Linked DNA regions of Macaca fascicularis. The protein of the gene in region 1 interacts with the protein of each later gene in a pairwise test. Links are inferred from orthologs where the notes say so. Each region holds a gene or a part of one and is shown in the gene's direction. Other genes may lie near its edges.

Region 1 (5,362 bases):
CCCCTCCACTTCCTGGAGCAGCGACCTGCCCCCTTCCCGCCTGCACTTCCCTCCACGTCCAGGGCCGGGCTTCTCCTCACACCAGCCAGACAGCCTACCCTCCGCCCAGGGGAAGCGGCTGCCTCCGCCAGGCCGCTTCCAGGAAGCCCCGGGCCAGGCCCCAGCATTGTTCAGGCCCTGGGGCCAGCACCCCAGCCAGCAGAACACCATGAAGTCCAGCGGCCCTGTGGAGAGGCTGCTCAGAGCCCTGGGGAGGAGGGACAGCAGCCGGGCCACAAGCAGGGTAGGAGTGCCCACCAGCTGGGCAAAAGAGGGGCAGGGGTGGAGGTGTGGGCAGTGGGGGAGGGGACCTGGAATCAGGCCAGGCCCTCTTCCCAATTTCAGCTTCCTCAGCCTTCTCTCCTGGCCCAGCATCCCCTCCGGAGTGGCCAGGGCTGTAGTGTGAGGGGATGTTTGGGTTAGAGTGGGTACCGCTGTCTGTTTTGGCTCCTCTCACCTTCCCTGCTCTAGCCTGCGTCAACCCTGGGGGTCCTGGCCCCCCAAACCTAAGCCCCAGGTACCTCACTGTAGGACTTTGCCACGCACTATCCAGGTATCCTAGAGCAGACTCAGAGATCATCAGGCCCCTTCCCGGGCCCGGGGAAGTTTGAGGAAAATGGGGTGGCAGGGCAGAAAAGGAGAGAGGAGAGGGAGTCAGGAGTGCTTTCGAACTGGAGGTTTGCTTTCCACTGACAGCATCCATATCTGCTGCTAATGCCTGCATGCTCCCAAGTGTCCTAGTGGGTCCCACAAAGTTGGTCCAGCCCAGAAGTGTTGCAGGGACAGTCAAAAAACCAGAGATGCTGCCCACATCCCCATCACTCCCTTTCCCAACTTCCCAGCCTTGCCCCAAAAGCAGCAGCTCAGGACAACCTGAGAGACTACTGTGATGGGTCCCCAGGATGAGGACAGCAGGAGTCTGAACTCCAGAGGAGGGGGAATATGGGTAAAACAGAGAGGTGGCAAGGAGACAAGCTGTCCCCAGACAGAGGATAGGAGGAGTGAACCCACAGTGGGAGGGGAAGGGACTGAGATAGGCCTGGGCCATAAGGGGGCATCCCAGGCTCCTGCTTCACTGCACCTCTGGATCAGGAGGGGCTGAACAGAGAATCTGGTCCACTCCTTCCTCATTCAGTGTGTGAATGAATCCCAAGTGCCAGGGGGCAGGGGGTCGGGGGAGAGCTCACAGCATCCAAAACCAGCTAAACATCTCTCCCAGTGACAGGCCTCTGTTTCCCTCCAGCATGACCACCCCCCTTATCCAATTGCTGTCTGCTGCCTCAATGCACAATGAGTAAACATGTTGTTCTGACCATGGGGGAGGAGGGCATGTCAGCTGTCTGGAGCGTGGGGACAGCAGGAGCTAAAGGAGCAGGACTGGCTGAGGCCACTCCTGCTGGCTCAGTCTGGTGCTGCAGGACTGACATACAACAGGTATGTCTGGAACCTCCCTGCTCACTCTGCACACAGGTCTCTATGAAGGGAGGACAAGACGGGAAGAGTCAGGGAGTACCCCTACTGCACCAGGGGGAAAGCCTGAGCATGTGGGCTTTCCACAAGGGCATCACATACCAGGGCCACGTGAGGGGCCCAAGTGATCCCCTGGGGAGGAGCTGACCCAGCAAAGGTGACGCAAGGGGTCAGATTCCATACACAGCTGAGGACAGGCCCAATGACCGCCCTGAAGCAGCTGTGGCCAAGTGCGTCCTACAAGTTTGAGGGCTTGATCTGGATGGAGGAAACCAGTGCAGTGCTAAGGCAAGGCTCCTGCCCAGTCCCAGAGATGGAGATGGGCCCACTGGGAACTCACACCTCTGTTTGTCCTTCCACCCTCAGCCTAGGAAAGCTGAGCCTCATAGTTTCCGGGAGAAGGTTTTCCGGAAGAAACCTCCAGTCTGTGCAGTATGTAAGGTGACCATCGATGGGACAGGCGTTTCGTGCAGAGGTGAGGTGCTCTGTCCTGTGACTCTGAGACCCTCCACCCAGTACCACTGTGTTGCACAACTCCAGCAGGCCAACTCACACAATCTCAAATGTAATATGCTGCTCCTGGATTAGGCACAATGGCACCTAAGAGGCGGCTGCCTCCCCCTTCAGATGGCCCTGGCTCCCCATGACAGACACCCCCGACAACCCAGGAGACCCAGTATTCTCCACCATCTTCCCATCCTGACTTGTGACTGTAGTCTTCCTTCCCTCCCTTCCTCCTCACCTCCACCCACCCTGGAACGTTACCCCTGGCCTACGCAATAGTACCCCACTGCCACACTCTTCCCTCAAAACCTAGCCCTGCTCCTCCGCCCTAGCCAGCCCAGTCCAGCTGGGATCCTGGAAGTCCCAGGATCTGGTTCCAGGGTCTGGGAGATGAGGGAAGGCCATTCCTTCCACTGTCCCACAGGCCCCTGCTAACCCCTCTCCTCCCCCTACCTCCCCTAGTCTGCAAGGTGGCGACGCACAGAAAATGTGAAGCAAAGGTGGGTATCTGATTCTACCTGATAGGGGGAGAGGGTCTGGAGTCCCTTCCTCCTCCCAAACAGGCTTCTCCAACCACACTGGCATCAACCCTCCACCTCCACCCCTCTCACCATTGGGGAACCCCTCCTGGGTGGGAGGGGTGCTGACTGGGCCCTTTAAGAACCACCCTACTCCGCCTTCTGGAGGGCTGGCCGGCCCAGGCGGGTGGACAGCGAGACAGCGTTTGTCTTGGTGCTGTGCCCAGGCTGCAGCTGGCGAGAGGATGGGGGTGGGGAAGAGGAGGAGAATGAGGAGGAGGAAGGGTGGGGTGGGTGGGGGGTGGGGGAGCAGGATTTCAGAGACTGGGCAGCCGGATGGGCTGTGCCTTCCCTCTGGGGAAGGGTCCTCAAAATGCCTGGGCGGGCCTTGTCCTGGGCCCTGGAAAAACTGGGCCTTTCCAGAAATAAGCTGTAGATAGCACCCACTGTCCACTGGGCACCCAAGACAGCCCTATCTCTGAGGAGGTTCCCTGGTCTTCCTGCAGGGCAGGGAAGGAGGGTCCCAGGGCCCTGGAGCTGGCTTGGGGGAGCTGTGTGCCCAGGGGCGGGGTCTCCCGGTGAAAGAGGCCAGTGTCCGTCCCTGGCCATGGCCTGCCTGCGTGCTCTATATATAACTCCTGCCCTGCAGCTGGATGAATGGGGGTCTGTGTGGGCTGGGGGCTGAGCGCCAAGAGCAACAAGTGGGGGGCCTGGGGGGTGGGGGACCAAGAGGCCAGAGGGGAGGTGCCCTTAAATAGCACAACCTCAGCTGGAGCCTGTGCCCATCCGCTGAAGGCCCCTCCACCTTCCTCCTGAAGCTGAGGGGCTACCCCATCCTCAAGCCCAGGAGAGCCCTTCACCAGGAGCTCAGTTCCTTACTCGGTCCCCTTCCAGGTGACTTCAGCCTGTCAGGCCTTGCCTCCCGCGGAGTTGGTGAGTGCGCTCTGGGATGGGGTGGGGAAGGCAAGGAACCTGGCCATGGTGTCCAGAGGTCTGGTGGCTCCAGAGAGGGCCCCCAGGAGATGACCTTGAATGTAGTGCTGTGGGTATTGCTCATCCTACAAGGAAAGAAAAAACTGTCTAAGTCCTCTGCTGATCTTGTGCCCTTGGGCCTGCTGGGGATAGAACTCCTCTCCCTTTGTCCAGTACAGCCTTCATCAGGACACTGACATTCCCTTCCACTGTTCCCAGGCCCACAGTGGTCCTTGCCCCTGCTGTAACCACTCCCTTTTCCTCCCCCATCTCCCTCTAGCGGCGAAACACGGCCCCAGTCAGGCGCATAGAGCACCTGGTAAGGTGATGCTGGAGGAGGAGGGGGAAGCAGGTAGCTTTGGGAGTAAGGATCTAGATTTCCTGAAGACAAAAGTGGCTCTGGAGTGGGCAGTCTAGAGTAGGGGGCACCCAAAGAGATGTCCAGACACTGTCTGTTATCCACCAGGGATCCACCAAATCTCTGAACCACTCAAAGCAGCGAAGCACTCTGCCCAGGTAAGTGAGGGTGCTGGGGTGGTCCCACGTGACCCCCTTTCCACCGGCCCCACACCTCAGCCCAGGGCGCTGCCCCTCAACAAAGCTCCCCGGGACAGCCCCCCACCCCCAAAGCGGTATTCTCCCTCCGGACCGACCCACCCACCCTCAGGACCCACCAGGCTTCACCTGCTGCCCAACAGACAGCCTTCCCATCACACTAGCCACCTCCGGGTGCCCTGCCCCTGCGTTCATGCGTAGGCTCCCCCTCCCCAGGAGCTTCAGCCTGGATCCGCTCATGGAGCGGCGCTGGGACTTAGACCTCACCTACGTGACGGAGCGCATCTTGGCCGCCGCCTTCCCCGCGCGGCCCGATGAACAGCGGCACCGGGGCCACCTGCGCGAGCTGGCCCACGTGCTGCAATCCAAGCACCGGGACAAGTACCTGGTGAGGGGCGGGGCCATCAGGAGTCAGCCAATGAGAGGGGCGTGGGGTCCAGATGGGCGAGGCTAATCACTGACGTCACCAGTGGAGGCGAGGCCGCCAGTGGGCGGGACCAGAGGAGTGGGGGTGGGGTGGGGTGGGGGCGGGGGCGGGGGCGGGGGTGGGGTGGGGGCGGGGGTGGGGTGGGGGCGGGGGCGGGGGTGGGGTGGGGGCGAGGGTGGGGCGGGGGCGGGGCCCGCAGTGGCGCCTGGAGCGGAGCGGAGTATCCAGGAGCGCTGGCGACTTGGCTGTGACTGGCTAGGCCGGGCCTTAACTACCTTCTTATTTTCTTTCTTTCTTTACTTTTTTTTTTTTTTTTGGTGACGGGTCTCTCTTTGTTGCCCAGGAGGTGATCCGCCCGCCTCGGTCTTCCAAAGTGCTGGGGTTACAGGCGTGAGCCACTGCGCCAGGCCTGCACTTTGTTTTAGAGGAAGATTCTTTTTTTTTCTTTTTTTTTTTTTTTTTTTTTTTTTTTTTGGTGTTGTTTTGAGGCAGAGTCTGCACTCTGTTGCCCAGGCTGGAGTGCAGTGGCGCGATCTCGGCTCACTGCAAGCTCCACCTCCCGGGTTTGCGCCATTCTCCTGCCTCAGCCTCCCGAGTAGCTGGGACTGCAGGCACCCGCCACTGCGCCCGGCTAATTTTTTGTATTTTAGTAGAGACGGGGTTTCACCGTGTTAGCCAGGATGGTCTCGATCTCCTGACCTCGTGATCCGCCCGCCTCGGCCTCCCAAAGTGCAGGGATTACAGGCGTGAGCCACCGCGCCCGGCCTAGAGGAAGATTCTTAACTTAGGATCCACCTCCACCTCGTGCCTCATTGCCGGAGGTCCCTTCTGTCTAAAGCCCTCCCCCTTTATTTCAGCTCTTCAACCTTTCAGAGAA
Region 2 (6,003 bases), on another chromosome or scaffold:
TCCGTGCTACTTGATACCTCCCAACTTCCCCGAGAATGGTGGCAGCATCTGGAACCGAGAGCGCCGGACTCCCGCGAGGCGTGCCCCGGGGACCGCGCGGGCACATTCCAGCGCGCACTGCCGTCCCACCTCGCCGCGCGGGACCAGGTCAGGTGCTGAGGCTGCAGGCGAAACAGGGCCTGGTGGAGGGAGGAATGCGTAAGGTGGAGGAATGGGGAAGGGCACCCGCCCCCGCACTGGAGGGCCAACCCCTGCACACAGCGGACTGGCCCGGACTGGGGCAGCGCCGGGCTATGGACGCAGACGCCGACGATGCGCACCCCGGGACGTCCGCATGTTCTTTTCCCCAAAACTAGTGCGCTCTAGCCTGCGCCTTTCCTCGGAACCTAAGGCGAGGGTATATTTCGTTGCTTTCTTTAAACCTCAGCACGATCACAGTGGCTCCGAGCCGCGGGTGGCTGACCGCGGGCCTCGTGGGCTACTCCTGGTAGGGGCCTGCGCGAGCCTAAGGTGTGTGCCCGCCTGGGTTAGCGCTGCGCTCTGCGCTGTTTCTTTTCCTCTTAAAGCTTCTTTCTCACTCACTCTCTCCCTCCTTCTCTCTCTAATTTTTTCCCATTTCTCTCGTTCTTTATTCAGCTTTCTCTCCCTTTTGTGAATGGGCCGCGGTGTCTTTGTTCTGGAGAGAAGCGCCCGTGTCGCTGACTTTTGTGAACCAGAGAAGGATCTTGTAAAACCTCCTTTTCTCCTTCGTACGCCCCAACTCCCACCCCTCCTCCCCTGCCCCTTTGATTAGATGTTCCCTCATCGTCCAAAAAAAAAAAAAAAAAAAATGTAATTTCGTTGGTCTGGCGGCCACTTTCTTTGAACATTAGCTCGCTTTCAGCTCCAACTTCAATTAGAAGGAGTTGATTTTGAGAGATCAACAAAAGAACCGACCAAAGCCTTATTAAAGGTCCTAAGAAGATCTCCCGGGTCCTTTGAGAAGCAGTTAAGGAAACAGTGTGCCCTCCATCATATTCTGTTACCGTATTTTATTCGGACTCCAAAGGAAAGTGTCGCTTGGGGGAGGGGGAAGCACTTTGATGAGCGGCGGCCGCGGCCCCTTTTCACTCAGCGGGCTCCCCCTTCCTTCTCCTCCTCCTCACCCAGCGCCCTGTCTGCTCTCCGCGCCCGACCCCGCAGCCTGGGCAGCACGGGTGCTCCCCACTGCGATGCGCCTGGAGGCTCCTTGACTCGCCCTCACACTTACTCCTGTGCAAACTTTTTACCCCGCCTGTCGGGGTGGGGGAGTGGGGAGATTAGAAACAAGGGGTAGAAATTCCTCGAAAGGGAATAAAGTGCCTAATTTTCAGAAGGAGGTGCCATTTAAAAGATTCTCCTAGCTCAGAGTTGGAACGAAAACTCTTTTTTGCACTTTTAAAAGTCCACCCAGGCAGACGTGTTTGGGAAGTTTGTTCCACTGGGAAATGGGCTTCGCCCGTACGAACAATCCGGGGAAATCGCCTCAAGGAGGCTCCTTACGCAGCATGTGGAAAAAAGTTGAGGGCAGGGGTCTGTGGCCACATTTTCCATCAAAAAGTCCCTGTTAGAGGCAGACTAGGAAAGAGAGAGAAAGAATGAAAAAGAAACTTTCCTATCAAAATGTTTGAATTAAGAAGTAGGGTGTACATGTGAGGGCAAGAGGACGCTGGGCTCCAACGTTTCAGAAGAAGCGCTTAAGGCTTGCAAACACCCTTGGTGGGGACCGGGAACCCCGGGAGATGCCGATGAGCAGGTAAGTGGCTGTGCCCTCCCAGTGGGTGCTCTTCCCAGGCGCGAGAGTCCCGAGGCGCCGAGGAGAGATCTGCACGCCCGGAGCTGCTCCCGCGCTCTGCAAAGTAGCCTGCGCCGGCACGAGCCGCCCGCGGCGTCGGTCTCAGGTGGCGGTGCAGAGGAAGAAAACGCTGGGGCCCGCGGCGCCAGGAGAGGGGCCGAGGCCCGGGCTCCTCCAGCCCGCCGCCCCCGGGTCCTGGCGCCCACACCCGGGCGGCTGAGCCCGGTGGCGCGCAGGAGAGCGAAGGAACCGGTTCTCCAGCACCTCTCCTCGTCTCTGCCACTCCCTCCGGAGCGCCGAGAGCGCGAGAGAAGGGCGGGGGCGCCCAGGGAAGGCCTGGAGACCCGCGGCCCCCTCCGCGGCCAGGACTCGGGCTCTCCGCTCGCCTTCCTCGCCTAGCTCTGAGCCGCTTTTGCCAGCCGAGTCCCGGAGTTAGCGCGCGACCGGGGCGGGGCGGGCGGGAGGGGAGGGCGGGGTGTGGGGGGCGGGGGAGGGCGGGGGCGCGCGGAGGTAACCCCCGGCTCGCGCTGCCATTGCCCGGCTCCCTGTCACTCAGCCCGCGCGGGGCCCCCGATTGGCGGCCTAGCCCCGTTACGCACTCGCCTCGCGTTCACATACCCGGGGAGGGCAGTAGAAAGGTGATCAATCTTCATCAGGCTACATTTCCAATCACCTAAACAACCGAGCAAGACAAGCCACTCCGACAAGGTAAATCGCTTGATTTATTTAGTTTGCAAAGTGACTCTGCAGGACTTCCCAGTCCCCACTGCCTCCACGTTGCACCGGGAGTGCCGCGGTAACGCCGAGCCACCTCCCAACTCTGCCCTCGAATTCCCCCCCTTGCGGCCCCTCGGCGCGATTCCGGGCGAGGCAATGTCCTGCCTGAGAACGTGTGGGGCTTAGCAAACAAAGTGTCTGTGCAATAAAGTGAAACCCAGAGGGACACGCACAAAGCCACTGAAAAAAAAAGATAGAGGTGGGAGGAAGGAAGTTGGGAAAAGAAAGAAACCCGGGGTCCTAGACCAGCCGCCGGGGTAATTCCTGTGCCGCTCTGTTTTGCAGGTTGGCTGCCCGGCGGGTCTCTGTGAGAGATCCAGGTAGATGGTGAACGTCCCCGGCAGCTGAGGGCAGGTAAGGAGAAAGCCGCGGGACCATCCCGGACTCCGGGAGCGCGTTGGTTACCCTTACCTCCCCCTCCTCAAATGGATCCCCACTTCCCCGGTCACCAGCAGGTGGGCGGGGCTGGGGGAGCGGCCTAGCTCCCCTCTTGGTGAGCCGAGGACCCCGGGGCGCTGTCGCGGCCCGCCGCTCCCTCCCCCGCCTCCTCCGAAGTAACCAAGCTGAAGTGCTAAGTTTGGAGAAAGTCTTTGAAAACTCACGCTGCAGCTTCGCAAAGCCGTCGCAGCTTTGAGTCCCATTTTTCTTCGGCCCTAGAGCCCTGGCTGCTTCTCTTCTCGTCCCCTTCCTACAAGCTGGACTCCCTCAGCCCAGGTCTTGGATCCCAGAAGACCGGGGTGGGAACGGGGCAGGGGGGAGCTTCTTTAGCTCTAACTTCTCTCCCTGAACGTCCTAGCCCGAGTCCCTGGCCTGCTTCACAGCGATCCCGCTAAGCGGGGTGTAGCAATGGCCCCCCAGAGCCCCAGGCCCAGTTTCCAGCGCCCCTCCCTGACCCCTGAGAGTGCCGCCCCGGGTTCCCGGCAGCGGCGGGGGCGAGGCTTCCACCTCCCAGCTCGGGTCTGCGTGGGCTATGCCGCTGAGGCCTACTTCTCTGTTCTCGACCGTGTCCTGGGGCCGCGGGTTCAGCTACAAGGATGACAGCACGGGACTTGCTGCCCTCCGGCTTTGCAAATCCCCGAGACCCTTTGAGGTGCTAGGTCAGTCACCCTTCACCCCCTGCTGGGACCCTGTGGTCCGCAGCACAGACTGGACAGAGAAGGCCGGGTGCGCGCTGGCAACGAAGGACGCTGGCCGCAGCTGAGACGCTCCCGACCTCAGGCCGCGTCTTGGGGTCGCCCCCCTCTACAGTGGCCTCTTCGGCGTCCCCTGGCCCTCTGCGAGGCCTGGGCCGGTTACTGCGGTTGAGGTGTGGTGGGATTTCGCGTCAGCGATCTTTCAGTGGCTGGGCACAGAGAGGTCAGCTGGAATGGTGATTGCGGGCTCTGGGGCAGGGGCGCAGCCCTGGAGACCTTTGAAGGAACCAAGTGTCCTAAGTGGACAAGAGGTTGAGGTGCGGTTAGCCCTCCACATTGCCTCACCTTGGCCCTTTGTAGTCTCTACCTTTTCAAAAACACGTGAAACAAAATGAAACAACCCCTCATGCTCCGGGAGGCCTGCCGTCCGGGCACCAAGTGAACGTTTGCTTGTGCAACATGAAGCTGGCTTCTGCCGGATTCAGAATTTTGCCTGGACTTGGGAGCTTGCACACTCCGCGGTTCTTGCTCTGACCTCCCCAGCCTGGCCTGGCTTTGACTTCTCCTTACTCCTATGGACTCCCTACCAGTGTCTTTGGCTCATTCCAACGCTGGAGCCAGACGACCCAGAAAACTTTACTTTTCAAAGCAACTGTGGTTTCTGGGCTAAGGCCTTGTGGATTCCAGTTGACCACCCTGCGCAGTTCTGTAACCTGCCTTCCCTGTCTATCCCGGGGCAAGACTTGGCAGCCAAGTGGCTCCGATTGATGGTTTCCGTGTGTCTCGTGTCTTCATAGGCCAGGCCCCCAGACGCATCAGACCCTGAAGGACTGCGGTGGGAGCCCTGCACCGCTTCTGGCCCCAGGTCCCCTGGATCCGTCGGGGCGCCTCCACCCAGCTGTTAGCATGATGTCTTACCTCAAACAACCCCCATACGGCATGAACGGGCTGGGCCTGGCTGGGCCCGCCATGGACCTCCTGCACCCATCCGTGGGCTATCCGGGTGAGCACCAGCCCTCCCGACCCTGCTTCAGCCTCTCCAATGTTGGGGCCCCCCAGACTGTTGGGTTTGAGTGCAAGCTTTGTTGCCGAGCAGGCCCAGGGAGTCAGCTATTGCAATACAGGGCCCACTGCCTGTTTACAATACAGGGCCCACTGCTGGCGCACGGGGCAGAGTCGTGGGCATGTGAGGTGGCCAGGGCTGAGAAAACGCGCAATGTGCGCCTTCCTGGCCGGGTCACCGGCAACCTTTCTCCTGTTGTGGTCCCACCACCAGCGCAGAGCTCATTTACCTGCGGATTCGCTACCCAGGGGCGGCTAGTGTTTTTCCTTTTCCCCCAACATGGAATGAGTAATCTGGACACTCGTTAGGCCCTGACAGAAAGAGCCAAACTTTCCTTATGCGAAGCGGCAGGCTGGACTGAAGGAGTATTCTTCCTTCCTAATTAAATTGTCCTCTAAATTGATGTCCTGCATCCGTTTTTGCACTGCTGTAGAGGACGACCTGAGCCAAACCCGGGGTTCTTTAGCTCCGGCTCCTTTACCCCATTTATTTTCTCCGAAAGTGTTTTTCAGGTCGTGTTTCTGCCTACCTCTTCCCCACTCCCTGTCCCCTAGCCAGAGAGAGAGAGAGAGAGAGAGAGAGAGAGAGAGATTGTGTGTGTGTGTGTGTGTGTGTGTGTGTGTGTGCGCGCGCGCGCGCGCGCGCAGGGGAGGGGGAATGTGGAAGAAGGGAGATTGTAGACTTCTCTTACTTTTTTTTAACCTCTGAGAGGCATAGAGAGGGGCAGCCCTTGAATCTTGGAGACACTGGCTTCTAGTCGCACATCTGCACTTTCTCCCACCTGTGGCCTCTCAGGCTCGGCCGCCCGAGGGAGTGTCTTTTATTCCCAGTTCGGCTTTCTCTTGCGAAGGCCGAGCTCTGGGCCTGCCAGGGGCCTGCCCGAGTGCTCTATCGCTGGTCCGCGTGGCCACCAATGACCCGCGGCGCCCCCGCGTGTCCCCGCAGCCACTCCACGGAAGCAGCGGCGGGAGCGCACCACCTTCACGCGTTCACAGCTGGACGTGCTCGAGGCGCTCTTCGCCAAGACTCGCTACCCTGACATCTTCATGCGGGAGGAGGTGGCGCTCAAGATCAACCTGCCGGAGTCCAGAGTCCAGGTGCGCACTCCCCGGGCTCCAGGGTCTGGGTAGGGGAGCTGAGACTGCTCGGGGAAGGTCTGGGAAGGCTCTTGAGGAGTTCTTGAAGAGACCGTCCTCTGGGGATGGGCTTACAGACTG
Region 3 (6,148 bases), on another chromosome or scaffold:
AGAGGTGCCAGGCTCTTTTTAACAACCAGCTCTTGCAGGAACAAATAGAGCAAGACCTTAACCCCCACCCCTACCAGAGAGGGCATTAATCTAGTCATAAGGGATCCTCCTCCATAACCCAAACATCTCCTGTTAGGCTCCACCTCCAACACTAGGGGTCAAATTTCAGCATAAGGTTTGGAAGGGATAAACACCCAAACTATAGCAATGCCCTATCTAAGGTGGGCAGCTGCTAATCAGGATGATGGAAGGTAGGTTCAACTGTGCTAGATCTCTTCATTTTAGAAGAAAATCTGAATTTCTGGAATCTTAAATCTCCCTATTTTTAAATACTAATGATTAATGACAGTATTATGAGGGAAAACATAAAGAGCTGTCCATTTTGACTCTATGTGAGTCACAGAGTGCCAGATTATTATTTCTGCCCTGCACTGTACTGCCTTTAAGGGTTACTCCACAGTATACTACCTGCCTGGTGCTGCCTTCAAATACTGCTCTGCAGCATGGCTGAGCACCTGCTGTGCAGCCATCCACTTGCTCAGCTCAGGATGGGGAGGGAGCAGACACCCAAGACTCAGCAGTGCCTGTAGCTTATGGCCAGCATTTACCCTGAGTGTATTTGGGATATTTTAAACATCATTCTTGGATAGGTTTTTAAAAATATAATAATTGCCTTAATCCTCACAACAATCAGAAACAAGATTTAATTATCTCTGTTTTGCAGAAGAGTAATTTGATACTCAGGTTGGTTATAAAGGTTGCATAGCTATAACTACATGGCCTGGGATGTTAGACTCACCTCTGACCCCATGGGCTCATCCTTCTATAGAGTTGCCTCTATCTTTGAAGTAACTTAAATTACTTCAAGTTAGAAAACATTTCCTCTTTTTTATCACTCTGGTAAGAATCTGAAGCAAAGTGGAAGTTGGCAGATACAATCATCTTTTAGGAGAGAAGATACCTTTGCCACTCCTCATCTCCTGACCATCAGGTCTTCTAGGGATGGAGAAGAAACTGTTAGGGTAATGAAGGAGGAAGAAAACAAGAATCTGCTCTTCATAGTCCTGAGACTTCAACACTAAGACAAGACACTCCCATACTCTGTAGGTGACGGCAAGGGCAGGTACACAGGGAGGGAACCGGCTGCTGGAATGCCAGCCTGGGTGATGCGCCAGGCAGATGCCAACCAGCTGTCTCATGGCCCAAGCCAGACCCAGAACCCTTTATATAAAGACAGCCCTCTTCCCAGATGCCTCAGCCTGAGCGACTGCTTGCCTGTGAGGAGGGTGAGTCCAGGAACTGGATCCTGGGATAGGGGTGGGTGTGATGTTCGAGGGAGCCCAGGTTCACAGTAGTGAGGCACAAAGAAGGGAGAAGCTAGGAGCCGGGGAGGGCAAGGAGTGCATCAACCTGAGGAGAAAAGTCTGGTGAGCTTTTAGGAGACAGAAGCATAGCTATGGAGTTTATGAGATGAGCTAGGGCTGTGACTTCAGTGTGTTTGCCTTTGATAACCCTGACCTTATCCTCAGGTACCATTTCCCCTCATAATCTTTCTGGAAAAGGCACATTAGCAATTTACACCTTATGAGCAAAGTTGTGTGTGGAAGGGTTACCTTCCCCAGGGAAATAGATATGTAGGTATTCTCTATAAATTGAAAATGGAAGGTTTGAACCCTCATCAGGAGCATTTGAGGAGCTTATTGAAAGGCGTTTTGTTGGATGAGCCTGCTGTCAAATGATCTTGTTTTGCTGGTCAGTGGGCTGCCTGCAAATCCACATAAACATGTGGATCTGGGACAAGCAGTGGAGTGAGGCTGCCCTGTGCTCTCCCCGGCTAAGCGTGGTGTCAGGGTATATGCCTGCAGCCCTCAAGTCAGGTCTGCAATGCCCCAGTTGCATAGATGATTAAGTATGGCAGAATGTCCGTCTTCTGATTAAGAACCTTGGACTTTCTGGCTTACTCCATCTTGGGTAACTCCACCTTGCCTCTAAGAGGAGCTGGGGAAAAACATTTCTGAGGCCTGCAGGCTGTCACACTTCAGGTGATTAACAACAGCAACCTGATTGGGCGAGTTGCCATGGTGGTCAGAGTCTTTCCAAGGCTGGTGTGTTTTGCATGGGAAAGCTTTGCACGTGTCATGTTTAAATGAATTTATTACAAAACATTGTGTCATGTTTAAATGACTTTATTTCAGAACATTGTGTCATGTTTAAATGAATTTATCTAAAAACATTGAATATAAAGAAACAAACATTTAATGTTGGGTTTGAGCTGCCCACTTTCCAGTGAATGCTTTGACATTATGTGAATGCAGATGGTGTCGAGTGCTTATTCTCATATGTACATTTTTACATATTTGCACATGTATGTATACTGCCAGTGCACATGTATGAGTAAATCCTAGCTCCTGTGGGAGTGGAGTTTCCACTTTGGGCTACAGCCTTAGGAGCATGTTTTATCTCTACTTCCTGTAGGGCTGCTCAGACCACATTGGATGTGAGAAAGTGTGGAGACAAAAAGAGAATCCTTTTGTCATCAGTGCCCTCTTGTTCTGGGCATTGGTAGATCCTGGACACCTGCAACCCTGGATGTGCACAATCAAGCCCTTTGACAGACTCAGGGCAGGTTTAACAGATTAATCCTGGGTCCAACTAAGTCAGGACACTTGGGTGAAGGTTGAGGGTGGAGGAGGAAAAGCTAGGGAAAATGAAGGGTGTCTTCCTCTAGGTCCCAGCCCTCCCTCTCCAACTTTCATCTTCTTGACCCTGGTCTCTCTGCCCTCAGGTCACGCTCGACTGGCTGCATCAGAACCATGTGTGACCAGCAGCAGATCCAGTGCTGCCTGCCGCTCCAACAGTGCTGCGTCAAGGGTCCCTCCTTCTACTCTTCTCACTCCCCCTTTGCCCAGAGCCAAGTGGTGGTTCAAGCCCCTTGTGAGATGCAAATTGTGGAGTGCCCTGCACCATGCCCAGTTCAAGTTTGCCAGGTGACAGACCAGACTCCATGCCAGTCTCAGACCACACAGGTGAAGTGCCAGTCTAAGACCAACCAGGTGAAAGGCCAGGCTCCATGTCAGTCTAAGACCACCCAGGTGAAGGGCCAGGCTGCATCCCAATCTCAAACTTCCTCTGTTCAAAGCCAGGCTCCATGCCAATCTGAGGTGTCCTACGTGCAGTGCGAAGCCTCACAGCCTGTTCAGACTTGCTTCGTAGAATGTGCTCCAGTTTGTTATACAGAAACTTGTTATGTAGAATGCCCAGTCCAGAACTATGTACCCTGTCCAGCTCCTCAGCCTGTCCAGATGTATAGAGGGCGTCCTGCAGTGTGCCAGACTCAGGGAAGGTTCTCCACCCAGTGCCAGTATCAAGGCTCCTACAGCAGTTGTGGCCCCCAGTTTCAGTCAAGGGCTGCCTACAACAGCTACACCCCCCAGTTCCAGTCGAGGCCTTCCTACAGCAGCTGTGTCCCTCAGTATCGGTCCCGGGCTTCTTTTAGCCCCTGTGTGCCCCAATGCCAGACCCAGGGCTCCTATGGGAGCTTCACTGAACAGCACCGCTCTCGGAGCACCAGCCGATGCCTTCCTCCTCCTCGGCGGCTGCAGCTTTTTCCCCGCAGCTGTTCCCCCCCAAGACGTTTTGAGCCCTGCTCCAGCAGCTACCTGCCATTAAGACCCTCTGAAGGTTTTCCTAACTACTGCACCCCACCCCGCCGTTCTGAACCCATCTATAACAGTCGCTGTCCTCGACAACCCATTTCAAGTTGCTCTCAGAGACGTGGCCCCAAGTGCCGAATCGAGATTTCCTCCCCGTGCTGCCCCAGGCAGGTTCCCCCACAGAGGTGTCCTGTTGAGATTCCTCCCATCAGACGCCGCTCCCGGAGCTGTGGCCCGCAGCCCTCCTGGGGCACCTCCTGCCCCGAGCTGAGGCCACACGTAGAGCCACGTCCGCTCCCAAGCTTCTGTCCACCACGGCGTCTTGACCAGCGTCCAGAGTCACCACTGCAGCGATGTCCACCTCCTGCTCCACTTCCACGTCTGCTCCCAGAACCATGCATAAGTCCAGAACCACGCCCGCGTCCTCTACCACGACAACGTTCAGAACCTTGTTTGTATCCGGAACCACTTCCAGCACCACGTCCAACACCGCGGCCAGTTCCCCGTCCTCGCCCAGCGCAGTGTGAGATTCCAGAGCCACGTCCACACCTGCAGCCCTGTGAGCACCCAGAGCCTCGTCCACGGCCAGAGCCAATTCCCCTGCCAGCCCCCTGCCCAAGCCCAGAGCCCTGCAGGCAGCCTTGGCGCAGCCCCAGTCCGTGCTGGGGCCTAAATCCAGTTCCATACTCAGGAGACATAGGCTGTCATGAGTCTAGTCCACACCGCCTAGACACCGAAGCTCCCTACTGTGGCCCATCCAGTTATAACCAGGGGCAAAAGAGTGGTGCTGGCTGTGGGCCTGGTGATGTGTTTCCAGAGAGGAGGGGTCAGGATGGCCATGGAGACCAAGGCAATGCCTATGCTGGAGTGAAAGGGGAAGCAAAGAGTGCTTATTTTTAAAGGAAAGGTGACTGACACAACCCTGTCTCCTGCCTCTGAAAATGTTGTTCCTCCTGTTCCACAATTTCCAGTGCACTCTTGTTTGAATCTCTCCAGAGATATTCAGAGACTCCCTATTACAAAGGTGATGTCCAGACTCCTTTGTCTATCATCCAAAGATTCACACCTGGGTTTCAGATGCCTCTCCAGCCTCACGTGTCACTCCTCGCCTGTACACATCCTCAGCTCTAGCCAGACCAGTCTGGCCATCGGGCACAGCTTGGGTGTTTCCTGGGCCATACCTTAGATGACCCTGCCTCCAAGCCTCTGCTCACTCTTCCCCCCTCTTCCTGGACCACTTCTCTTCTCCTCCCCAGCTTCTGAAATCCAACCCATCTTTCACTGCATCCTCCGCACTACTTGGTAACTGCCTGGTGATATCTCTTGAATTGTTATTTCACTTTGCAGGCATATCTTTCTTATCTGCCCAACTAGGTTCTAAACTCCCAACTGAGTGGAGTCAGAGAATCTCTAAATCTCAGTGTCTATCCTGGGGCTGGCTGCTGCTTAGCAAGGCTTGTGGGTTGGTAACTTGAACCATGTTCTGTCCTGATGCTCAACTGTAGGAACTGAGGTGAGAGGAGGCCACGTGACAATAAAGATCATCATGTACTCACTGCCTGAGTCCTGAGTCATTCCTGCTTTTATTTCTTGACTTGCTGAGATGAGGTTTTTATTGTTGCTATTTTAAATTGTGATAATAAAACACATGTAACATGAAATTTACCATCTTCACCATATTTAAGCATTCAGTTCAATGGCATTAAGTACATTCACATTGTTTTGCTACCAGCACCACCATCTGTCCACAGAACTCATCTTGCTGAATTAAATCTTCATCCATTAAATAATAACTCCTCATTCCTTGCTCCTTCTAGCCCCTAGCAACCACCATTTCTGTCTCTATCAATTTGATGATTCTAGGTAGCTCATATAAGTAGAAAAACAGTATTTGTCCTTTTATGACTGGCTTACTCCACTTAGCATAATGTTCTCAAGGTTTATCCAAGTTGTAGCATGTGCCATAATCTCCTTCCTCTTCAAGGCTGACTAATATTCCATTGCAGGTACATACTATATTTTGTTTATTTGTTCATCAGTGGATGGATGGGCACTTAGGTTGCTTTCACCATTTTTCTTGTAGTAAATAGTATTGCAATGAACATGGGTATACAAATACTTCTGTGAATCCCAGATTTCAATTATTATGGATAGATATCTGGAAGTGGGATCACTGGATCGTAAGGCAATTTTATTTTTAATTTTCTGAGGAACTGCTATACTATCTTTCATAGTGACTACATTATTTTACATTCCCACCAACAGGGTACAAGTCCTAATTTCTCCACATCCTTGTCAACATTTGCTATTTTCTGTTTGTTCTCTTGTTTTGGTAATAGCCATCTTGATGGATATGACATAGTATGAATTTTCATTTTAATTTATTACCTTTCTTTTTTAGTTTATTGTACCCACGGTGTGAGCTTTTTAAGCCTACACCAAGTGGGTTGTCTTGCGGGTTTTCAATCTTCCCTCAGTTTCCTTGGCCCCAGATG
Region 4 (5,815 bases), on another chromosome or scaffold:
ACCTGGGAGGCAGAGGTTGCAGTGAGCCAAGATCATACCATTGCACTCCAGCCAGGCAACAATGTGAGACTCCGTCTCAAAAAAAAAAAAAAAAAAAGAATATATATTTCTGTAATAAAGATACTGTTATGTAACAATTTACAGAATATATTGATATAATTGTATTTGTATATAATTTAAATAATATCCTGGCTGGGCTCAGTGGCTCACACCTGTAATCCCAGCACTTTGGGAGGCAGAGGCGGGCGGATCACAAGGTCAAGAGTTCGAGACCAGCCTGACCAACATAGTGAAACCCCGTCTCTACCTAAAATACAAAAGTTAGCTAGGCGTAGTGGCGTGCACCTGTAATCCCAGCTACTTGGGAGGCTGGGGCAGCAGAATCGATTGAACCTGGGAGGCAGAGGTTGTAGTGAGACGAGATGGCACCACTGCATTCCTGGGCCACAGGGGGAGACTCTTCTCAAAAAATAAATAAATAAATAAATACAAATAAATAAATTTTTTTAAAAAATCCATCTTTGAGGCCAGGAGTTTGAGACCAGCCTGTGCAACATAGTGAGACCCCGTCTCTACAAAAAAAAAAAAAAAAAAAAAAAAAAAAAAAAAATTGAAAATTAACCAGGCATAGTGGCATATGCCAGTAATCCCAGATACTTAGGAGGCTGAGGTAGGAGGATTGTTTGAGTCCAGGAGTTCGAGGCTGCAGTGAGCCGTATTCAAACCACTGCATTCCAGCCTGGGCAACAGAGCAAAACCTTGTCTCAAAAGATAAATAAATAAATAAATATCCATCTGGGGGTGTAATTTTAACAGTTTTACCTATAGAGGTGTGCAATGGAGAAAAAAATTTAGAGTCGTTGAACACAATGCTATTTTGCCCCTCAGAGAGTATCTGGCAGTCTCTGGAGACATTTTTTGTAGTCACAACAGGGAGAGTGAGGAGCCACTGGCATCTAGCAGGCAGTGGCCAGGGATGCTGTTAAATGTCCCCCAACACACAGAACAGTCCCCCACACAAAGAACCAGGCAGCCCAAAGTGTCAAGAGTGCTGGGCTTGAGAAGCCCTTGCCCGAAAGCCCCAGACTTAGTCTTGTTTTGGGGGCTCTGCACGGCTGCCTCAACTCCCCACTCTATTCGTCCCCGAGCTAAGACCTCCAATTTCAGTGACTGTACAAAGCATCCCCTCCTCCAATGAAGTAGCCATCTCTGTGTCCCCAGGCTGGGCCAGAGCCCCACCACCTAACGGCTCCCTGATGCGCCCTGTACTGGGTTAGAACTGTCCAGCCCACGGGGTTCTTAACCATTGCAGATTCCCTGGATCCCTGAGACAGCCGGATTCTACCGGGCAACGAGAGACCAAGAATCTGTGTTTTTCTCAAGCACCGCTCCCCACAACCACACACACACTGCCTGCCCCTATCAAGGGCACACAGCAGGTGGCCCAGTGACTAGTTGAGTGCCTACTGCAAGCCAGGCGCTATTACGCGATCCACTCGGGAATCTTGGCATATACTCCACTCCATGGTGTAGACACCAGGATCCTCCCCATTTCACAGAGGGGTAAACTGAGGTTCAGAGAGGTGACCCTAGCTAGGACAGAGACTCAGGGCAGGAAAAGCGCCCAGGTCCTCATGAGCGCCAGATTCCCGGGGAAGGAGGGAGGACAGAGAGGAGGGTGATGAACTGGGGGAGCGCGCGCTGGGTGGGGGGGCGCGGGGCCTCGCCGCGGCCTTCCGATGCGGCCCCGCCCCCACGAGGGACGTGAAGACGCGGACCCCGCGCAGCGTGGGGACATGTGACCGACTGCAGAGGCCGCGCCGCCTCCCCCGCCCGAGGTCTGCGCGCTCCGCCGCAGGGTGCAGACCCGGGGCGACCGCCTGGGTTTGGGGCGCAAGAGCAGAGGCGGAGCCAGGGCGGAGCCAGCGCGCCCGGTCCCCCCTGAATCGAAAGCGAAACAGGGGCTGGGGAGGAAGGGCGGAGCCGGCCCCGAGGCACCGCCCCCTGCCCTGCGCGGCTGCTGGACCGACGGGCGCGCCCAGGTAGGGGGGCGGCTGAACCGCGCAGTGCGGACCCTCGCGGGGACCTGCGCCGCCGCCACCATGTCTCAGGAAGGTGTGGAGGTAAGAGATGGCTACGGCTGGGCCGGGGGCAGACGCGACAGACTCCGAGGAGCGGCCGAGAGGCGCGGAGGGGGCTTCGCAGTTCCTGGGGACCCCCATCCTAGAACCCCAGATCTTTACCCCTGCCTGGCGCTCACCCCCCTTGAAAAGGAAAGTGACTCCCACGTTTCCCCAGAGCGAAATGAGGCCTCTCCGAGGAAAAGCGGGGGCTGCAGGGTCAAAGGTCAGAGGCCAGAGATAACCTGGCCGCCCCCCCACCTTAGGCTGGGACGCTCGCCTCAGTCCGCGCCCTCCCCCAGCGCCATGTGGGGACTTTGGCTTTTTCCAGGAAATGCCGTAGAGGGATGAAAGGGGGGGCGGCGGAGGCCAAAACCAAGGGTCAAGTTCAGGCCGGGAGAACGGTGCCTAGAGATGGGGGAGGGACGATCGCGCTTCCCCTTCGCCCACCGGAACCCCCCTGTCCCCATCCCAGCTGGAGAAGAGCGTCCGGCGCCTCCGGGAGAAGTTTCATGGGAAGGTATCCTCCAAGAAGGCGGGGGCTCTGATGAGGAAATTCGGCAGCGACCACACAGGAGTTGGGCGCTCCATCGTGTACGGTGAGGCTGCTGGGGTCCCGGGCCTGGTGCGGAGACCGCGCGTGGGAGCGCCGAGGGGGCGTGGTCTAGGGAGAGGCGTTGAGATCACCTCCCCCGGAGGTCCCAGCCTCGGGGAGGCTCTGCATCGCGGCTCTGGGTGGCCTGGAACTCCCACAGACCCTTCAAGGGCCCTTCTCTTATACGCACTCTCCCCCGCAGGGGTAAAGCAAAAAGATGGCCAAGAACTAAGTAACGATCTGGATGCCCAGGTAACCTGTCCCCTCCCCTCGCAAAGGACCGGGTCACGGGAGGGACAGCAAGAGGGGGGACCCGACCGGTTCATGGTGACTGACACTTCTCTGAAACAGGAGGGACCAGGCATTGTCGGTCTGTAACTCATCACCCAATATCACTTTTTCACCTCTCTATCGTTTGTCCGGCCAGGGAGCCTGCAAACAGTAGGCGCTCATTATGCGCTGATTGTATTCAAAGGCGGACAGCCATGAAACTAGGCAATGAAAGGAGTCAGGATTATGGCCATCGTGGGGGGGCAGAGATCAGAGAAGACTTCCTGGAGGAGGAGGTACCAAGTCTTAAAGGATGGAGAGGAGTGAGCCCTGGGAGGGGAAAGGGAAAGAAAGGCAGGGGCCTTAGGGTGTGGGAGGGAATGGCATGAGCAAAGGCTGGGAGGTGGGGAAGGGTTGTTAGTGTCAGTCTCTAGAAAGGCTGGGATGAGCAGGGGATTGGGGAGGAGAGAGAGGGAGGGGAAGGGAACCTTTGTGTTGAATGAATGAATGAATGAATGAATGAATGAATGAATGAATGAATGGCTTTGAAGCACAGGTGCATCATGGCTACTTTGCTTCTTCGAAAGCTTTGGTGATGGGAACACTGTGGATTTCGCCTGCCTGAAAGGCTCAGTGTAGGGCTGTTACAGTATAATAGGCCTGGCGCCATGGCTCACGCCTGCGATCCCAACACTTTGGGAGGCTGAGGCGGGCGGATCACCTGAGGTCGGGAGTTCGAGACCAGCCTGACCAACATGGAGAAACCTGTCTCTACTAAAAAATACAAAATTAGCTGGGCATGGTGGCGCATGCCTGTAATCCCAGCTACTCGGGAGGCCGAGGCAGGAGAATCGCTTGAACCTGGAAGGCAGAGGTTGCAGTGAGCCAAGATCACGCCATTGCACTCCAGCCTGGGCAACAAGAGCGAAACTCTGTCTCAAAAAAAAAAAAAAGGCCAGGCGCGGTGGCTCACGCCTGTAATCCCAGCACTTTGGGAGGCCAAAGCGGGCAGATCACGAGGTCAGGAGATTAAGACCATCCTGGCTAACATGGTGAAACCCCATCTCTACTAAAAATACAAAACAACAACAACAACAACAATTAGCCAGGCGTAGTGGCAGGCGCCTGTAGTCCCAGCTACTCAGGAGGCTGAGGCAGGAGAATGGCGTAAACCCGGGAGGCAGAGCTTGCAGTGAGCCAAGATCGCGCCACTGCACTCCAGCCTGGGCAACAGAGCAAGACTCCGTCTCAAAAACAAAACAAAAAACAAAAAAACCCAGAGGATAGTAAAATATGTATCATAGTCTACATTTATACATATAAAAGTATGATAAAAATGATAGCAGAGGGGCCGGGTGCGGTGGCTCACGCCTGTAATCCCAGCATTTTGGGAGGTTGAGGCGGGCAGATCACTTGAGGTCAGGAGCTCGAGATTAGCCTGGCCAACATAGTGAAACCCCGTCTCTACTAAAAATACAAAAAATTAACTGGGCGTGGTGGTGCATGCTTGTAATCCCAGCTACTTGGGAGGCTGAGGCAGAAGAATCACTTGAACCTGGGAGGTGGAGGTTGCAGTCAGCCGAGATCACGCCATTGCACTCCAGCCTGGGCGACAAGAGTGAAACTCCATCTCAAAAATATAATAATAACAATAGCAGAGGGTAGCATTCATTTAGTATTTCCCATATGGCAAGACTCCAGGAATTGATTTATTTCATCGCCACAGTGACCCCAGGAGACAGGTCCTGTTATTTATCCCCATTTCACAGACAAACTGAGGATGAAGTCACTTGCTAGGTTCACGAAGCAAGCAGGTGGCAGCTGCGATTTGAACCCTGGCCACCTGGAGTCAGAGTCTGGGCTCTAACATGCCTGTCAGTGGGAACCCAGGAGGCAGGGAGTGGCTTGTCCAAGTCCCCACAGCTGGAAGTGATAGAGCTGGGATTCGAACCCACATCTCTCAGTCCAGATCCCCACCACTTAGCCAAGCACAACGTGGCCTCAAAGGGGCGATATTGTCACAACACCAACAAGCATGTGGCATTTGCAGGCAGGAAGTGAGTACGGGGGTCAGGCTGGCCTCACAGGCAAGCCCTCCCCTAAGCCTCAGTTTCCCCATCTGAGCAATAAGGTAACAGGTGTGCCCACCTCTCAGGGCTGCTATGAGGACAACTGAGGCCACACACCTGGCTCTCAATATGTGGGCAGTGCTCTGTGAGCTCCTGGCGAGCTAGGGGCACCCTATTCTCCTTGCGGCCGGGGCCCTCCCAACACAGCAAACAGGTGGAAAAGAGGCCTGAGCCCCATCCCAGTTTCTGCCCCTGCTATCTCCACCCAGGATCCACCAGAAGATATGAAACAGGACCGGGACATTCAGGTGAGTTGGCGGCTAGGGCTTGAGATGGGGAAGTGGGGAGGGCGACATCTGCAGGCACGGAAGGATGTCCATTAGGGCAGGAGGGGAGATATTCACTGGGGCAGGAGGAGGACTTGTCTGTAGGGAGAGGAGGGCTGATGCTTATGCTGGTGCAGAAGGGGTGACCCCCCTCCACCTCATCCCCACCTGCCCCATTCCACAGGCAGTGGCGACCTCCCTCCTGCCGCTGACACAAGCCAACCTACGCATGTTTCAACGTGCCCAGGACGACCTTATCCCTGCTGTGGACCGGCAGTTTGCCTGCTCCTCCTGCGACCACGTCTGGTGGCGCCGCGTGCCCCAGAGGAAGGAGGTAGTGACCCACAACTTAACCTTGACTGTCCCGAACTCCACTCCTGACTCCCATCCTCAGTGACTGTACCTCTGACCTAAGGATTTCCATCACTGACCTCC
Region 5 (5,799 bases), on another chromosome or scaffold:
AAGCATGGGTGGAAGTCAGATTTGGTTGAGTAGCTGGGCGAGTGGCTCTCGCCTGTAATCCCAACACTTTGGGAAGCCAAGCTGGGAGGATCACTTGAGCCCAGCAGTTCCAGACTAGCCTGGGCAATACAGTGAGACCTCATCTCTACAAAAAATTAAATAATTTTAAGTCACCACTGGGATTACAGGTAGTGGCTCACGCCTGTAATCCCAGCACTTTGGGAGGCTGAGGTGGGTGGATAATGACATCAGGAGTTCAAGACCAGCCTGGTCAACATGGTGAAACCCTGTCTCTACCAAAAATATAAAAATTAGCTGCGCATGGTAGTGCGTGCCTGTAATCCCACCTACCCGGCAGGCTGAGGCAGGAGAATTGCTTGAACCTGGACCCAGGAGGCAGAGGTTGCACTGAGCCGAGATTGCGCCACTACACTCCTCCAGCCTGGGCTACAGAGCGAGAGTCGGTCACAAAACAAAACAAAAAAACAGAAAAAACGCTGGGCAAGGAGCAGGTGATTATTAAATGGTAAATCTGACAGTGAAAAGCAGTTAGAAAACGAAGTGGAGATTTTTCTCTCCTCCCTCACCCACCGAGGGTATGCTCAGGGTTTTAGGCTATAAAGGTACAGGCCCAGGGAACGAGTGAATAATAATAATGGAAGACTCATATGATGCTTATGTGCCAGGTACTATTCTAAGCACTTTGCATATATTAGCTTATTTCATACATAGCTGGGCCGGGCGCCTCACATCTTGGCTGAGGGGGAGGATTGTTTGAGCTCAGGAGTCTGAGACGAGCCTGGGCAACATAGTGAGATTTCGTCTCTATTAAAAATAAAAAAAAATTAACTGGGCATGGCAGCGTGAGCCTGTAGTCCCAGCTACTCGGAAGGCTGAGGTGGGAGGATCCCTTGAGATGCAGAAATCAAGGCTGCAGTGAGCCATGATAGTTCCACTGCACTCCAACCTGGGTGACAGAAGGAGAACCTGTCTCAAAAACAAAATAAAACAAACAGGCCGGGCACGGTGGCTCACGCCTGTAATCCTAGCACTTTGGGAAGCTGAGGCAAGCAGATCACCTGAGGTCAGGAGTTTGAGACCAGCCTGGCCAACATGGTGAAACCCCGTCTCTACTAAAAATACAAAAATTAGCAGGGCATGGCTGCGGATGGCTGTAATCCCAGCTACTCGGGAGGCTGAGGCAGGAGAATCGCCTGAACCCGGCAGGCGGAGGTTGCAGTGAGCCGAGATCGCGCCCCTGCACTCCAACCTGTGGATAGAGCGAGACTCCGTCTCAAAATAAATAAATAAATAAATAAATAAATAAAAATAGAAAACAACAAAAACAAATAGGGATTAATAAATAGGGAGAAGCAGGCATAATCCAGGGCAGGCGAAGCCTCCGGGCCACGCCCGAGAGGCGTTTGCATTTTACCTTCAACAGTTCAAAGCCCTGGATGGCCAGGTTACCCAATTGTGGCCTGCCTTGACTACTTAATTGAGTCAATCTAACCCCCACCTTCTCTCTCCTCTCTCTCCATTTAGCGGGTCACGTAGCCACTAGGGCTTCCTTAGCCTATCAAGCCACCTGGGGACTGAGTCATTCAGTCACCTATCTGGTAGTCACATCTGCCCCTGGGGTCATCCCTTTACTGGGCCACCTCGGCCCATCGTGACCTGTCACTTCTTGAGCTCCCTCAGGCCCCTAGGCTGGCCAGGTCGCCTCAGTGCCACGCCTCCCTGGCCCGCGATTCGGCCTGCACGTTACGCTTTGTTCCCAGAAGCAGGTTTTCGACACGCCGCTCCCTCTCGGCTCCAGCTGTTTTCCTGCCAGCGCTGGGAGACCCGGCAGCCGCAGCGCCCCCAGCGGCGCGCAGCGGCCCAGGAAGAGAGTGCCTACCGCCGGCGCCTCTTCAGCCTCCTCCCGGAACGCGGGAGCGGGCGCGACCAGCGCCCACCCAGATCGTCGTGACGGTGCTCCTCATTGGCAGCATTGTGTGACGCCACGGAAGGGCCCCGGCGGCCGCCGGGAGCCGGGGCTCCGCGCGTGCGCAGACGGAGCGCGCTGAGCGCAGGGGGAGGTGGCTGCCGCTTCTCCCGCGTCCGCCATTTTGTTGCTGTAGCTATTGGGAACGAGCTGGGCAAAACCACCCCGGAGGCGCGACGCTCCTTCGAGTTCGGTGCCTCGTGTGACGGCGGGGGTCGGTGAAGACCCGTGGAGCTGCGACGCCGGCGCGTTCCAGGCCGGGAGTCACTGGAGGCACCCCTGGGACGCCGAGCAGCCCGAGAACCCCGGGGTGGCCTCAGCTGCGGCTCGGCTTTGCGTGCCCTGACCCCCCGGCTCTGCCCTGCATTCCCGGGCGGCTCTCCGTGAGGCGGCCCCGGAGCAGGCGGGCGACGTTGGAGGATGCTGCGGGCCTGGAGCCGAGAGGAAAGTGCTGGCCCAGCCCTCTGAGCGCTCCTCGAGGTGTGCGAGAGGCCCTTCCTCGGCCCCAAAGCCGTCTGCCGGGCTAAGGCGTGCAGAGCAGGCGAGGACAGCCGCCGCCCCTACCGCCGCAGAGTCCCCGGCCCGACACCATGTCCTCTGCCAGGTTCGACTCCTCGGACCGCTCCGCCTGGTACATGGGGCCGGTGTCTCGCCAGGAGGCGCAGACCCGGCTCCAGGGCCAGCGCCACGGTATGTTCCTCGTCCGCGATTCTTCCACCTGCCCTGGGGACTATGTGCTGTCGGTGTCCGAGAACTCGCGGGTCTCCCACTACATCATCAACTCGCTGCCCAACCGCCGTTTTAAGATCGGGGACCAGGAGTTTGACCATTTGCCGGCCCTGTTGGAGTTTTACAAGATCCACTACCTGGACACCACCACTCTCATCGAACCCGCGCCCAGGTACGCGAGAGCCCGCCCCGACCGCGGAGGAAGGTCGATAACCGGGTCGGTCGAAGGGTGTTTGTGTAGGGAGGTGGGGCGCGCTTGAACCCATATTCCCCCCATTCTGAACCAAATTATTTTCCAGAAGGCCTTCCTAATGGAAAGCTAGTGTCAGGATCTAGGTCACTGGATAAGAGGATGCGTTTTTGTTTTTTGTGTTTTCCTCATGAGGCTGTTTCTCAATGTCAGGAGGATGCGTTTTAAATGTTTAACGGGGGTGGCATAAAATGCACGCTTTTTGCCTTTCGTGACTTTCTCTGGGTGTAATACTGATGCAGGGATTTGCTGGTTTTCCTAAAAACCTTTTTTTTGAGACGGAGTCGCCAGGCTGAAGTGCAGTGGTGCGATCCCGGCTCAATGCCACCTCCGAGGGCCTCCCAGGTTCAAGCTATTCTCCTGCCTCAGCCTCCCGAGTAGCTGGGACTACAGGCTCACGCCACCACGCCCAGCTAATTTTTGTATTTTTAGTAGAGACGGTGTTTCACCATTTTGGCCGGGATGGTCCCGATCTCTTGACCTCATGATCCCCCTGCCTTGGTCTCCCAAAATGCTGGGATTACAGGCATGAGCCACCGCACCCGGCCAAAAACCGTTTTTAGCCATAGACTTCTTTGAGAATCTGGAGATAGCCGAGCACTCACCACCCAAGCCCCACCCCTCCTCGCCAAAGGCACGTACACACAAGTTTGCACACTATCCCAGGTTCTTGTACTCCCTCCAAATCTCTGAACTCCAGGTTAACTCCAGGACTGCAGCCTTTGTAACAGTCGACAAAATGAAACCAAAATATCAAAACTATATATTTGATACTGTGGTGCCAAGTTTGAAGCAGGCCAGACACCACCACTTTTATAGTACGTTAATCACAAAGATAAGGTGCATTGGCTTCAGCGAGGATATTTTTGGAAAATGTATTTAATATTTTCTCCCCAAGGACCATTAGTAGGCCAGAGATTAGTCTGATTAATTTCCAAGGTGGAATTAGGCTAAAATGTTATTAAGGAAAATTTTTGAATTACACTGAGTTGTATCCTAGTTCAATTTCAGACGTGCTTTTTGTGTTAAGTCTAATGACTTAGTATCTCTTATTTTTAAATTAATGCAAAGTGACCAAGTAGTCTCTTTTCCAAGTGAAATACATTATTTTAATTGATTAGTTGCTTTAATTTGCCTTAAGCATTTTAACAAAGATTTGTTTTTATTGTTGTGTTTGCCCTGTAACACTTTGATTTTATCAGAGGTTTCTTTTATTTAAATTATCCCAAATTTGAGTTGAAAAGTTGCCTAGAATTTTTAAAGTAACAAACTGGCCAGTTCATTTCTTAAACATCTGTTTTAAAAGGATTGGGTGTTGATGCAGTTTTTCCAGGGTTAAATGTTTATGACTTTATGGATTTGTCGACCGGGTATTACTCTAAACTTTAAACATTAAAAGCTATTATAATTAAGGACACGAACTGTTTGCATAGTGAGATAGAGATAGAAAAAGAAGCCATGATAGTATAATGACTTTAAGATTAACTACTGAACTAAATGGACTTTAAAAGTGGGCAGAAAGTGATTATAAATCAAATACTGTATAACAAAGACCAGGACACCAAGAATCTGATTGGTGAAACATGCGGTTCCTGGCAGATGCTGGTAGTTGCAGTCAACTTTGAGCACAATATAATTCCAATTTAAGGGGTTGAGAATCTTAGAACCCACTGTAGTGAGATTTGTAGTATGATTGAATAAATTATTCATCTCGTTTGTGAGAGTGAATTATATAATTAATACCAGGCATTCATTAAGCCATGCATGTACTTACGTTGAGGTGATGAATACTAATAATACAGCTGTTTCAAAAAGCGAGTTAATGGCGGGGTGTGGTAGCTCACGCCAGTAATCCCAGCATTTTGGGAAGCCGAGCCAGGCAAATCACGAGGTCAGGAGTTCGAGACCAGCCTGACCAACATGGTGAAACCCCGTCTCTACTACAAATACAAAATATTTGCTGGGCGTAGTGGCGGGCATCTGTTATCCCAGCTCCTGGGGAGGCTGAGGTAGGAGAATTGCTTGAACACGGGAGGCGGAGGTTGCAGTGAGCCGACATCGCGCCACTGCACAGCCCGGCGACAGAGTGAGGCTCTGTCTCAAAAAAAAAAAAAAAAAAAAGAAAAAAGAAAGAAAAAAAGTGAGTTAATGGCTTGAATCTCTTTCTAGAGGGAGGAAAAGAAGTATGCTGCTTCTGTCTATCCACAGAATCGCCTCCAAATTTTCCATACATGCATGTGTCTTCTTAGAGAACAAGCATGTAATTCTGTTTTTGCCTCCTCTCGTCCTTCCTTTACTGCAGCTCTACTAGGCTGCTCACTTATTCCCTGGTAGCCATCCTTCCTTACTCATACCTTTGTACCTTTGCACCTTTGCTCCAGCTGTTGGCTCTTCATTGACTGCCTTAACTACACCTCGCTCTCCATCTGTTGAAATCCTACCTGTTGTTCCAGTCCCTTCACAGATGATAGGGCCTTTCTCTGACCCTCCCCCACACGTTCAGCTTTGTTTCTCCTTCTCTGTGCCCTCTGCCTCAGGCCTGTTGCTTTAATTTAGTTTTTCATTTTCCTAGGTATCTCTGAAGGAGATCACCATGCTGGTTGAATTAGATACTGACTGAATTTACTTTGTTATACTGAATCTTCGAATTGCCACTCCCAAGCCTGGTTTTCATGGCTTAGCCCTAACATGTTATTAGCCTTTTATAGAAAGCTAGTGACTACTAGAGCCTTGCCAAACGGAAAACTCAGTGTAATGCTTCTTCACATCCCAAACAGGATAAATTTAGTGGCTTAACTTTTCAGGCATCAAAACTGAGCTTTTAAAGCCAGAA

What was found.
Region 2: the proteins of TNS2 (region 1) and OTX1 interact in binary tests that used the Homo sapiens proteins (3 or more experiments, as listed by UniProt). The two-hybrid records come from large-scale screens. The link is inferred for Macaca fascicularis from reciprocal best matches to the Homo sapiens genes TNS2 and OTX1.
Region 3: the proteins of TNS2 (region 1) and KPRP interact in binary tests that used the Homo sapiens proteins (3 or more experiments, as listed by UniProt). The two-hybrid records come from large-scale screens. The link is inferred for Macaca fascicularis from reciprocal best matches to the Homo sapiens genes TNS2 and KPRP.
Region 4: the proteins of TNS2 (region 1) and SHFL interact in binary tests that used the Homo sapiens proteins (3 or more experiments, as listed by UniProt). The link is inferred for Macaca fascicularis from reciprocal best matches to the Homo sapiens genes TNS2 and SHFL.
Region 5: the proteins of TNS2 (region 1) and CRKL interact in a two-hybrid assay, tested with the Homo sapiens proteins (2 studies listed by BioGRID and IntAct). The link is inferred for Macaca fascicularis from reciprocal best matches to the Homo sapiens genes TNS2 and CRKL.

The regions. Positions count from the first base shown.
Region 1 is NC_088385.1:59,841,963-59,847,324, forward strand, and holds part of TNS2 (tensin-2), read left to right. Parts: intron 1-87; exon of another isoform or gene 88-208; coding exon of another isoform or gene 209-283; intron 284-1,442; exon of another isoform or gene 1,443-1,473; intron 1,474-1,875; coding exon 1,876-1,984; intron 1,985-2,475; coding exon 2,476-2,513; intron 2,514-3,410; exon of another isoform or gene 3,411-3,425; coding exon 3,426-3,464; exon of another isoform or gene 3,465-3,589; intron 3,590-3,783; coding exon 3,784-3,822; intron 3,823-3,969; coding exon 3,970-4,019; intron 4,020-4,274; coding exon 4,275-4,446; intron 4,447-5,342; coding exon 5,343-5,362. UniProt on the Homo sapiens protein: Tyrosine-protein phosphatase which regulates cell motility, proliferation and muscle-response to insulin. Phosphatase activity is mediated by binding to phosphatidylinositol-3,4,5-triphosphate (PtdIns(3,4,5)P3) via the SH2 domain.
Region 2 is NC_088387.1:58,900,368-58,906,370, reverse strand, and holds the start of OTX1 (homeobox protein OTX1), read left to right. Parts: upstream 1-2,453; 5' UTR 2,454-2,521; intron 2,522-2,875; 5' UTR 2,876-2,944; intron 2,945-4,520; 5' UTR 4,521-4,629; coding exon 4,630-4,726; intron 4,727-5,731; coding exon 5,732-5,883; intron 5,884-6,003. UniProt on the Homo sapiens protein: Probably plays a role in the development of the brain and the sense organs. Can bind to the BCD target sequence (BTS): 5'-TCTAATCCC-3'.
Region 3 is NC_088375.1:108,420,707-108,426,854, reverse strand, and holds KPRP (keratinocyte proline-rich protein), read left to right. Parts: upstream 1-2,784; 5' UTR 2,785-2,813; coding exon 2,814-4,553; 3' UTR 4,554-5,209; downstream 5,210-6,148.
Region 4 is NC_088393.1:10,630,960-10,636,774, forward strand, and holds the start of SHFL (shiftless antiviral inhibitor of ribosomal frameshifting protein), read left to right. Parts: upstream 1-1,991; 5' UTR 1,992-2,102; coding exon 2,103-2,123; intron 2,124-2,595; coding exon 2,596-2,719; intron 2,720-2,917; coding exon 2,918-2,967; intron 2,968-3,142; coding exon of another isoform or gene 3,143-3,281; intron 3,282-5,323; coding exon 5,324-5,362; intron 5,363-5,564; coding exon 5,565-5,714; intron 5,715-5,815.
Region 5 is NC_088384.1:31,890,880-31,896,678, forward strand, and holds the start of CRKL (crk-like protein), read left to right. Parts: upstream 1-2,051; 5' UTR 2,052-2,577; coding exon 2,578-2,888; intron 2,889-5,799. UniProt on the Homo sapiens protein: May mediate the transduction of intracellular signals.